Caenorhabditis elegans: one gene and its partner. The protein of the gene in region 1 purifies or fractionates together with the protein of each later gene. This does not show direct contact. Each region holds a gene or a part of one and is shown on either strand. Other genes may lie near its edges. The genes, in order: C04B4.4 and gid-7.

Evidence for each region.
Region 2: the proteins of C04B4.4 (region 1) and gid-7 fractionate together in Caenorhabditis elegans (co-fractionation; one large-scale study listed by BioGRID). This does not show direct contact.

The regions. Positions count from the first base shown.
Region 1 is NC_003284.9:12,288,771-12,293,952, forward strand, and holds C04B4.4 (Anaphase-promoting complex subunit 1), read left to right. Parts: upstream 1-2,068; coding exon 2,069-2,075; intron 2,076-2,728; coding exon 2,729-2,946; intron 2,947-3,061; coding exon 3,062-3,321; intron 3,322-3,376; coding exon 3,377-3,515; intron 3,516-3,562; coding exon 3,563-4,268; intron 4,269-4,357; coding exon 4,358-4,497; 3' UTR 4,498-4,629; downstream 4,630-5,182.
Region 2 is NC_003283.11:3,754,023-3,758,971, reverse strand, and holds the start of gid-7 (CTLH domain-containing protein), read left to right. Parts: upstream 1-1,897; 5' UTR 1,898-2,173; intron 2,174-3,174; 5' UTR 3,175-3,175; coding exon 3,176-3,256; intron 3,257-3,500; coding exon 3,501-3,631; intron 3,632-4,005; coding exon 4,006-4,216; intron 4,217-4,450; coding exon 4,451-4,581; intron 4,582-4,634; coding exon 4,635-4,735; intron 4,736-4,949. Other genes in the region: Serine/threonine-protein kinase chk-1, read left to right, coding at 58-271, 469-702, 871-1,033, 1,238-1,654.

The DNA of each region.
Region 1 (5,182 bases):
TTTGTAGCTAATAACAAAGAGTGACTTAAATTACCATTGAAAACACTTAAATTACCATTGAAAAGAAAGAATGAAATAAAGAAAAAATGGGTTTTTTTTCTAATTCTAGAAGAATATTGGCCGACTATTTTGGATGAATCATATGGTGAAATGGCCAGATAGTGTGGGGCAAAGGTGCATGTAGAACTGTGGACAATACAAGTGGAAAATGAGAGGGAAAAGGAAATGGAGAGCATGTTGCGACAAATGAAAACACTATTTTTGTTCCACAACAGATATATAAGATTACCAAATTGTAGAGCAACATACTGTTTTTCTAGTGCTTTTCTGGAATTTTGACACAAATGTAAAAAGTTTTTTTTTTTTGAAGTAAGAAGTTTCATTCTGATATTTGTTCATTTGCGGACATGTTGGGAATTTTACGTTCAAAACTCCCAGAACCGTTCGTTCTGTTTAATGCAGTTTGAGGGAATTTTAGATTGTACATTATGTGAGACCTCAAGACTATAGAAACTTGTAGGATTAACTAAAAAAAATGACACCAAACTATTTTCTTACCGCTATGCTATTTCGTAGATCCCGAAAAATACTCTGGCCACATCGAAGTTTATAAAAAAGCATACGGTGTCTCGTGGCCTATGACGAAAAGTGTCTCCACCCCACTTCTCTAGCAATCGAGTAAAAGAATTGGAGGAACAAACAAAAATAGTGTCATTTTTTCCACCTCGAAGGACAACCACTTTTGATGAATCATTAGGTGATTAGGACAGATAGAAAAAAGAGAGATCACGAGCAGAACGGAAAACAGAAAAAAATCATACAGTAGAATAATTTATGGAAGCTTACGACTGCTCTCACCTTCTTTTTTCTCTGTTGATCAGCATTATTTTGCTTAATTTTCGTTGCACTAAGGTTTTCTCATTTATACAATTAGTCTAGAGTTTAGTATTGCATGCAATTTTATTTTTCAAATGGTCATTTTGAGTGCAAGTCTGGTAAGGACTTCAACACTAATAGGCAAAGTACAGTAGTTATCATTCAAGGAACAATATGGATTGTTAAAACCTCTCAAACCCTCGATTTTTACAATTACCATAAACAGCACCATATATCGCAACGTAGTTCACAAATATCTGCGATTTCTTAAACACACACCCTGCCCCAAAAAGTCTGCATAGAGTTTGAGGAACCAGATGTGCTTAATAAGAATGGCCTTCATTTCGAAACAAATTCAACACATGTAGTCATTCGTGCTGGATTTTTGTTTCTGTGTACGCGCTCGTATTTTTTTAACATCATTTAATTTCAGTTTTAAAATTCAATATGGGATAGCTTTTCAATTTTTATATTGTTTTAATTAATATTTTTCATATTTAAAAAAACTTCAGATTCAAGAACTCACTTTGATAGACTTGGAGAATATGATCTCATGAGTGAACTTTCACTGAATCTTAAATCTCAGAATATGAATTTTTCTAATCTGGTGATGTAATTTTCGAAACGTTCGGATAATTTTTTGGCAAATTTATTTGCCTTTATTTTTGTTACATTCCTTTAGAAGTTAAATCAAGCTGAAAACTTATAGAAATGCGGTACTTAGCGTGCACGATATGAACATTAATTTATGCTCACAAGAATTGACGCAAAAAAAAGTCATGTTATGTTGGAGGAAGTGAAATCATACGACTAATTTTTGTCTGACAGAATGTTAATTTTAATTTTATTTTAATAATGCTCAATATTCGTTTTTCAATTATAATGTTTTGTGCCATATCAACTAATCACTGAATTTTCCTTATTTCAAAACGACGGTTTAGACTGTCTTTGTTGTATTAGTCATCAACGGGATGAAAAAACAGATTTCGGTATTTTCTAATTTCAATTTTGATCAATGTTTATCTTTTTCTAATTTCGCTGTTCTCAAGTTTTTCTCAAACATTTTTTTACACGTTTAAAACTTCAGAAGCCACTCTTCACATTTGCAGGAGCTACTGATTAACTGTCAGTTCTTGTCACTATCTCTTTCCAGGCTCCGTTCTCCGGTTATCCATTTTCACGAGTTTTATAGATGTCATGTGAGTGTAGCCTTAAAACTAGAAACTATATTCTCGCTAATGTAACGTAGTTTTTGCGTGGTTTTCACAAAACTAATCTGAAATTGTCGCTAGGCTAAATAACACACCAAAAAAAGAATAATTGTAAGAATTGTGATTTTGAGCGTTTGAAATTGCCGACGCCATGTTGAAAATTTTAAGACGGGTTATATATAAATTTAAATATAAGCTATTGAAGTGTTAGTTTGTAATTTTTTCGATTTTTTTCGTTCAAAGTTTGCAACGTTGCAGTACTATTTTTGAATAACATCTGAGAGCTGGAATCAACTATAAGTAAAGAAACTAATTTTCTGTGAAAGCACATGATCGATAGTGCAGACATGATCTACAGTTTCAGCTATTGCACCCGCAAATAGAGTAGATATTTCTTTTATTATTATTACACAAAGGTATAGTCAAAATAGTAAAATAGTCGCAGGTAAAATAGGTGGAAAGTTTTTCTCATGATAGGTCCAAAATAAAATTTTACCCGAGAATCATATTTTTCTTAACCAGAAAAGTAATCGAAAGCGTGAAGCAACTGTGATAGAATAAGCTAGGATAGTTCAAAACTGAAACATTTGGTAGAAAAAGAGGAAAATGACAAGATGGTTTGATAAATATTAATTATTCAGTAAACGTTCCAATAACACCTGACGGGACGTCGAGGTCCGGAAGGCGCCAACTCAGCGTCGATGACGTTCTTAAAACGATTTGTAGTGCAGGACATTATACCGTAGACATTCCCATCAACGACTTTGGCAAAATTGTTTTTCTCAGTCCTGAAAGAGGAGTTATTCAAACTGTCGATGGTGAAATGTGCTCATTTGCAATTGTGGATTTACGCATGAATGTAAGTTTTTTCCGTACCATCTTTTGCACGTTTTAAGGAATGTTTTATACAAGTAAAAACCAAAAAAAATTAAATGTAAGATTCTAAAAACACAAATGCCATTCGTTTCTTTCAGGGTGTGACTGATTTGACAACAGTTCTGCGTGTTGGGTGTGTTCTAAAGTTTTTTATTATCCGACAACTGGACAACACGTTTATTGCAACGAATATTGGCCCGGTTTGCGGACCTGCATCAGAGCTTATCTTCTACAGAAGAAAGGAGGTGTTCGTTGTTGCTCCAGAATATCATTATTTATTGGAAAAAGAATGCATTGCTTTTCTGAGACTTTTTGTAATCTTCCTGGAACATGGTACTTTCTCCTTATCAATGAGCAGGTATTTTCTTTTTTGAACGACCGGAGTCGATTCAAAACGAATTATTTTTTGACAGGATCCTGAAGGAGTTGGCCAAATTCAATGATCATTTTCTCAATGAATATTTGGGATCTTCGGATGCAAAACGTCGAAAGTTCATTGAATGTCGGACTCACTGGTTTCAAATAGGATGGAACGATGTTGTCAAGCTTCAAGTTTGTCATCAATTTTTATTTTAATGTTTCAAAAATTTTAATTTCAGAGACCAGATGTATATGATGCAATATTCATTCTCGTTTCCTTCGTTCTTCGTAACGGTGGTGTCACTACCATTGAAAACACATTCCAACTCTTCCAGAGTGATTATATGCCTCAGTCATTCCGGCAGAGAACTGGAAGCGATCTCAATTCATTTGTAGGATTTCTCAATTCGCATACCTGGCTCTTTGCAGTATTTCCATGCCACAAGTATGTCTCAGCTTCGAGAAACTTGCCATATATTAATTATGAGGCATTCACAAAAGGAATAAAAGTACTAGAAAAAGCATCAGGACAGCATCAATGCCCAATGACCTCTTCTTTCCCGGTGGAACTGTCGATGACGTCGCTGAACTCAAAAGTTTTCTCAAATGGACTTGAACAGACGGGGCCTGATCAAAAATCCCAACTCAGTAAAAATGGATCGCCTAAAATCAGATTCATGGAAAACACGACTAATAATGTTACCCGGCTGGAGTCGGCAAACTCCATTTCAAAGAGACGGGAAGTCATTATGCATCCACAACACTGGTATCCGGTTAAAAATGCTCCGCGCTCAAAGCAAAATAGTAAGCAATCACTCAAAATGACTTCGAACAAAATGTTGGACCTCAAAGGATTCTCCATGAATGATCCTCCAAAGTCTCGATTCGCAATAGCTAATCAAAACTCTGAAGGACGTGCATCACCTGTTCAACCAAAAAATACAAGTAAGTACATATGTATTCACTATATATGTGACAGTATTCGAAAACTTCTCTGCCCATTTATGTAATCTATTAATTAATTGTTTTTTCAGATCCTGATGTTTATCGTGTTCGCTCATCGATTAGCTCCATAGGAAATTCCGAAGACTTTCGATCATTCGATAGCTGTTCCACATCTGAAGTGAACGATGTACTTCCCGGTTTATCTTCTCCAACTAGACAAGGAAAATAATTGCTCTTATTTCTATACAAAAACGCTTCTTCCAATCCCTGATTTACAGTCAGACTTTCCCTGTTCATTATCTCCAAATTTTTGGCCTTTCAAACATGCCACGAGATCCTCAAATGTATTATTTGTACCAGCAATGTTGACTTATGATTTCAAATGTAAAAATCAATTTTAGAACTAAACTGATTAATTGCTTGACAATAATCATCTATTGAATTTATGTTTCCATTTACTTTCAAGTTAATAAATCAATCAATCAAGGTGGCAAAGGGCAAGAGGGAAAATTATTCACTCATTATAGTGTCTCTGACAAACACAATTGATGTTTTGATGAAATCCATATTTTCCGTGAAATTCTACTTTGTTTTATTTTTTTTATTTCAGAACTATTATGTCGAGCACAAAATCTGAAAAAAAAAACATATTTTAGACGCATTTGTGTTTTGCTTGAAAACCCCTTCTCTCTCATTTTTTGTTTTCCTGTAAAATAATTATCATTGTCATGGCCGCGGCCGCGGCCGAACTTCTGAAGTCGGTTCATGTGCGCTCCATTGAGAACATGGCGGGCACCCTGCACTCTCTTGTTGCGTTGCGGTTATTTGCAAAAGGTGTTCTCACGTTTTTTTTTTTTGGATTTCGCAATCCAACTTTTGCCTCATTTTATTGAATAATCGCTGCCACATTTGCA
Region 2 (4,949 bases), on another chromosome or scaffold:
CTTTTTTTTTTTTTTGTCAATTTTAAAATGCTTAAATTATCAAATTTAATCTTCCAGATGTCTTAAAAATCTCGGATTTCGGCATGGCAACTCTTTATCGGAACAAAGGAGAGGAGCGACTGCTGGATTTGAGCTGTGGGACGATTCCGTACGCTGCTCCAGAGCTCTGCGCCGGAAAGAAGTACCGTGGGCCGCCCGTCGATGTCTGGTCGTCTGGGATTGTGCTCATTGCGATGCTCACCGGGGAGCTTCCGTGGGATCGGGCTAGCGAGTGCGTTTTCATCGCGTTTTTGGCGGAAATTAGCATATTTTGATGGTTTATTTCACATTTTTCGGCTAAAAATGGCAATTTCTCAACGAAAAATGTGTATAAACGAGAAAAAACAATAAAAACTATTTTCCGACCGTTGAGACACCAAAAATCAGAGATTTTAGCTAATTTTTGACGAAATGAATGTTTTTTTTCAGCGCCTCTCAATCCTACATGGGATGGATCAGCAACACGAGCCTCGACGAGAGACCGTGGAAGAAGATCGACGTTCGAGCCCTCTGCATGCTTCGTAAGATCGTCACCGACAAGACGGACAAGCGCGCGACAATCGAGCAGATCCAAGCGGATCCGTGGTATCAGCACAATTTCGGTCAAGTCGAGACACCGAACGGGCGGCCACTGAAACGCGCTCGCAACAATGATGAGAATATGTGAGTTTAATAGATGGCTTCGGCCATATCTGGTGTAGATTTACGGCGCGTTGCGTGTCGCGTCGCGGCTCGATTTTAGTTGCGAAAAATGCAATGAGGAAGGCCAGAACCCCATTTAAATTTAAAAAAAAATCACAATTTCATGTTAAAATGCTCAATATATTCCAGCACATGCACTCAACAAGCCGAATGCTCCGCGAAACGTCGTCACTTGGAGACTCCGAACGAGAAGAGCACTCTGGCGGAGAGACAGAATGCTTCGTTCTCCCAGCCGACAAAGACTGAGGATCTTCTGCTTACTCAGCATATTGATATGTCGCAGACCAACTCGGTTAGGAAAAAACCGTCAGAAATTGGCGGATTTTTAGCTAAAATCTCCAATTTTTCGGTCGTAAATTGGCATTTTTGATAATTTTAGGATGAAAATTCGCTAATGACACGGAAATGGTTGCAAAATTAGAGGTTTTTGCTAAATTTACTTTTTTTTTTGATTAAAAAACCCAGAATTTAGTTTAAATCCCCCTAAAATTTTCAGAATCTCCTCCAACGAATGGTGTGCCGTATGACACGTTTCTGCGTCGTCACCGACATCCGTTCCACGTACCAAAAAGTGGCTCGAGCCAGTGAGCACGCCGGCTTCGGCGTTCGTGAGACTGACGACTACCGTCTACTAGTCACGTGGCGCGAGGTTTCGATGATGGTCAGTCTGTACACGATGGGCGATATTCCCGACAAGCCACGTGTCATGGTAGATTTCCGCAGGTCTCGCGGTGACGGAATCCAGTTTAAGAAGATGTTCATGGACGTTAGAAACCGTATGCATGAGTGGATATGTACCGACGGAAACAACTGGCTCGCCAATCTTGGATATGTGCCAAGAAATCCGCAGATAGTTAATGGTGGTGGAGTCAATGTGGAGCACTCGGCGTCCTCGATCAATGTGGATGTCTAATTGTTTTTTTTTGTTTGTTCGTTTTTTGTTCCATCAGACTATTGAGATTTAAAGCACAATATTTATCATCATCATCATCACTTTAAACATCTCCCTATCCCATTAATTTTTAAATTTAACGTGAATTAACGCCGAATTACAAGCCTGTGAATGAATGTTTGTTTTTATCTCTGCGTCTAGAGTTTGTCCCCACTGCCTCATCATTCCTCCTCTTTCTCTTTTCCCTCTCTCACTTTTGCACAATATCTCGCTGCCCCTCGCCTCCGTTCGATAGTCGTCAGCTGAGAGAGTGTCTGCAGCAGACAAGACAATTCTTACTAAATAATACGCACGAATATATTCTTATGAATTTTTCTACCCCCTACTGTCATTAGGTCTCAACTGGAAAATCTGGAATTCGTTTTTGTAGTTTTCAAAATATCAGTGGCGCGTCGTTCCCACTTAACAACTCAAAGTGGTTCGGAAACCCATCGGAGAAGAGGCTGACGAGCCAGCCGTTGTCCCGGCCAAGCGACAGAGGTTTGCAATTTAAAAAAAGCTAAATATGACGATTTTGCGATACTGTACCAGGTCTCAACACGACAAATTTCTATAAAATTAATGCAAAAGTGTGTGTGCGCCTTTAAAGAGTACTGTAATTTCAAACTTCTGTGGTTACGGAATTTTCTTATCGATTTTTCTTAGTTTTCCGATAAAATTTCGTATTTAAATTCTTTTTTTAAACACCAAAATTTAACAAATGATGAGAACAATTGAGAGAAATCGATATTACGGGAACACAAAATGCTGAGAATGCGTACTGCGCAACATATTTAACGCGCAAAATATCTCGTAGCGAAAACTACAGTAATTCTTTATATGACTACTGTAGCGCGTGTGTCGATTTACGGGCTCGATTCTCGAAACTGATTCAGGCCCGTAAATCGATACAAGCGCTACAGTACTCCTTAAAGGCGCACACTCATTTGTATTTATTGTAATGCCACAAGATTTTGTCATTCATTCTTAAAGGCGCATCGATTCACTCAGATGGGTCTCGGCGCGAAAAAAAAATTTTTTGGAGTTTTTGCGTTTTCTTTCATTTTTCTGTTAAAGCCGACAAGCAGGAAAAGCACTTATGAAATTTGTCTAAACATTTTACGAAAATTTAAAAAAAAAACGACAAAACTCGCTAAAAACCAAGAAATTTCATTGATAAACGCAAAAAAAAAAACTTTTAAAAAACTCTTTTCGCGCCGAGACCCATCTGAATAAATCTGGGTGCCTTTAAGCGGACATGTCGACTTCTAGCGAAATTACGATAACAAAACCTTCAATTTCAATCGATTTTTTGTAGTTTTTACGATTGCAAACATATCAATTTTTGCAAATCGAAAATTCCGCGGCACCTAAAGTTTTAGACTACAGTACTCTTTAAAGGCGCATACCTTTTGACAATAAACAAAACATTGTCGCGTCGAGACCAGCTACCGTATTCTTGGCGCGCGAAAATTGGCAAAAATTTCAAAAAAAAATTCCAGAATGACTGTCGACGAGCAACTTGACGATGTTGGTCGTAAGGGTAAGAAGATGTCTGTAGCACAAAGATTGCAGAATCATGCGGTAAGGGTCTCACAGCGACACGTGGTGTCAGGTTGTCCCGTTATGGTTTGATCTACAAAAAATGCGGGAATTTTTTGCCCCAAAAAATGTGACGTCAGCACGTTCTTAACCATGCGAAATCAGTTGAGAAATATGCGTCTCAACTCCCGCATTTTTTGTAGATCTACGTAGATCAAGCCGAAATGATACTTTTTGACATCATGTTCCGCGATTGAAATGCAACAAAAAAATTCACTTTTTCCAGCAACTATCCCCCAGATCTCAAGATGATCCCGAAGAAACCGAGTCGGTGATTCGAAAGGAAATCGCGTTGGGAAAATATGATAAAGCAACAATTCGAATTATTGCACAATTTTTGGATAATATCGGCTTGACGTAAGTTTTTGACCAGTTTCGGGTCTCGGCACGACATTTTTTATGTTGAATGAAAACGGGTGTGCGCCTTTAAAGTTTCTTTATCGATTTTTCAGAGTTTTTTGTAAAAAAAGCACACGTGGTGTCAGAGTGTCTCATTTCGGCTTGACGCAGAGTTCTCAACTGATTTCGCATGATTAATACCGTGCTGACATCACATTTTTTTGGGCAAAAAATCCCGCATTTTTTGTAGACCAAACCGTAACGGGACAGCCTCGCACCACGTGGAATTTTGGAATTTTGAAATTACGAAATTTTAAGGCGCATGTCTTTTTTCAATAAACAAAAAATGTCGTGTCGAGACCGGCTACCGTATTTTTGACCCATTTTTTCAGAAGCTCTGTTGAAACTCTCGTTGAAGAGACGGGCTTCACAATTGAAACAACGTCGGGTGCCAGAGTCCGTGCGAACATTCTCAAAGGAAACTACGACGCGGCGATTCAAATTCTCGAAACTTCAAATGATCACATTACTGAGGAGACCGCAAAGCATGGATCATATATTGTTAAATGCTTCAAACTAGCTGACCTAGTTCGGAAAGGAAGGGTTCGTGCTAGACTTGGCACATGGTGTCAGAGTACGGTTTGATCTACAAAAAATGCGGGAATTTTCTGCCCAAAAAATGTGGCGTCAGCACGTTCTTAACCATGCGGAATCAGTTGAAAACTCTGCGTCTCTTTTCCCGCATTTTTTGTAGATCTACGTAGATCAAGCCGAATTGAGGGACTTTGACACCACGTGACATGGTGCATCGTGTGTCCAAAATATTTTCAATTTCAGTACTTTGACGCTCTGTTCACAATGCAGAAAATGATACGAGGCGTCATACTTGATCATTCCGAGCATTTTGATTATTTTGACACTTTTTTCAAAGACGTCCTGCTCGGAAATTGCCGATATCAGAATATTGAGTGAGAATTTTTATTTTAAAACTCGATTTTCTAAATAATTGGAAAATTTTCAGCCAAGTTGCCGAGAGGCAGTCCCAGTTGGCGTTTCTCGAGGAAATTCTTCCATCCGACTTTATTTTGCCGCAAAATCGATTGAAGACTATTTTGAATAAAGGTAATTGATTTTTTGAGGACACAAAATTCTGAGAGCTCTGCGTATTGCACAACACATTTGACGCGCAAAATATCTCGTAGCGAAAACTACAGTAATTCTTTAAATGACTACTGTAGCGCACTGGTGTCGATTTACGGGCCTTAATCAGTTTCGAGAATCGAGCCCGTAAATTGACACAAGCGCTACAGTAAGAATTACTGTAGTTTTCGCTACG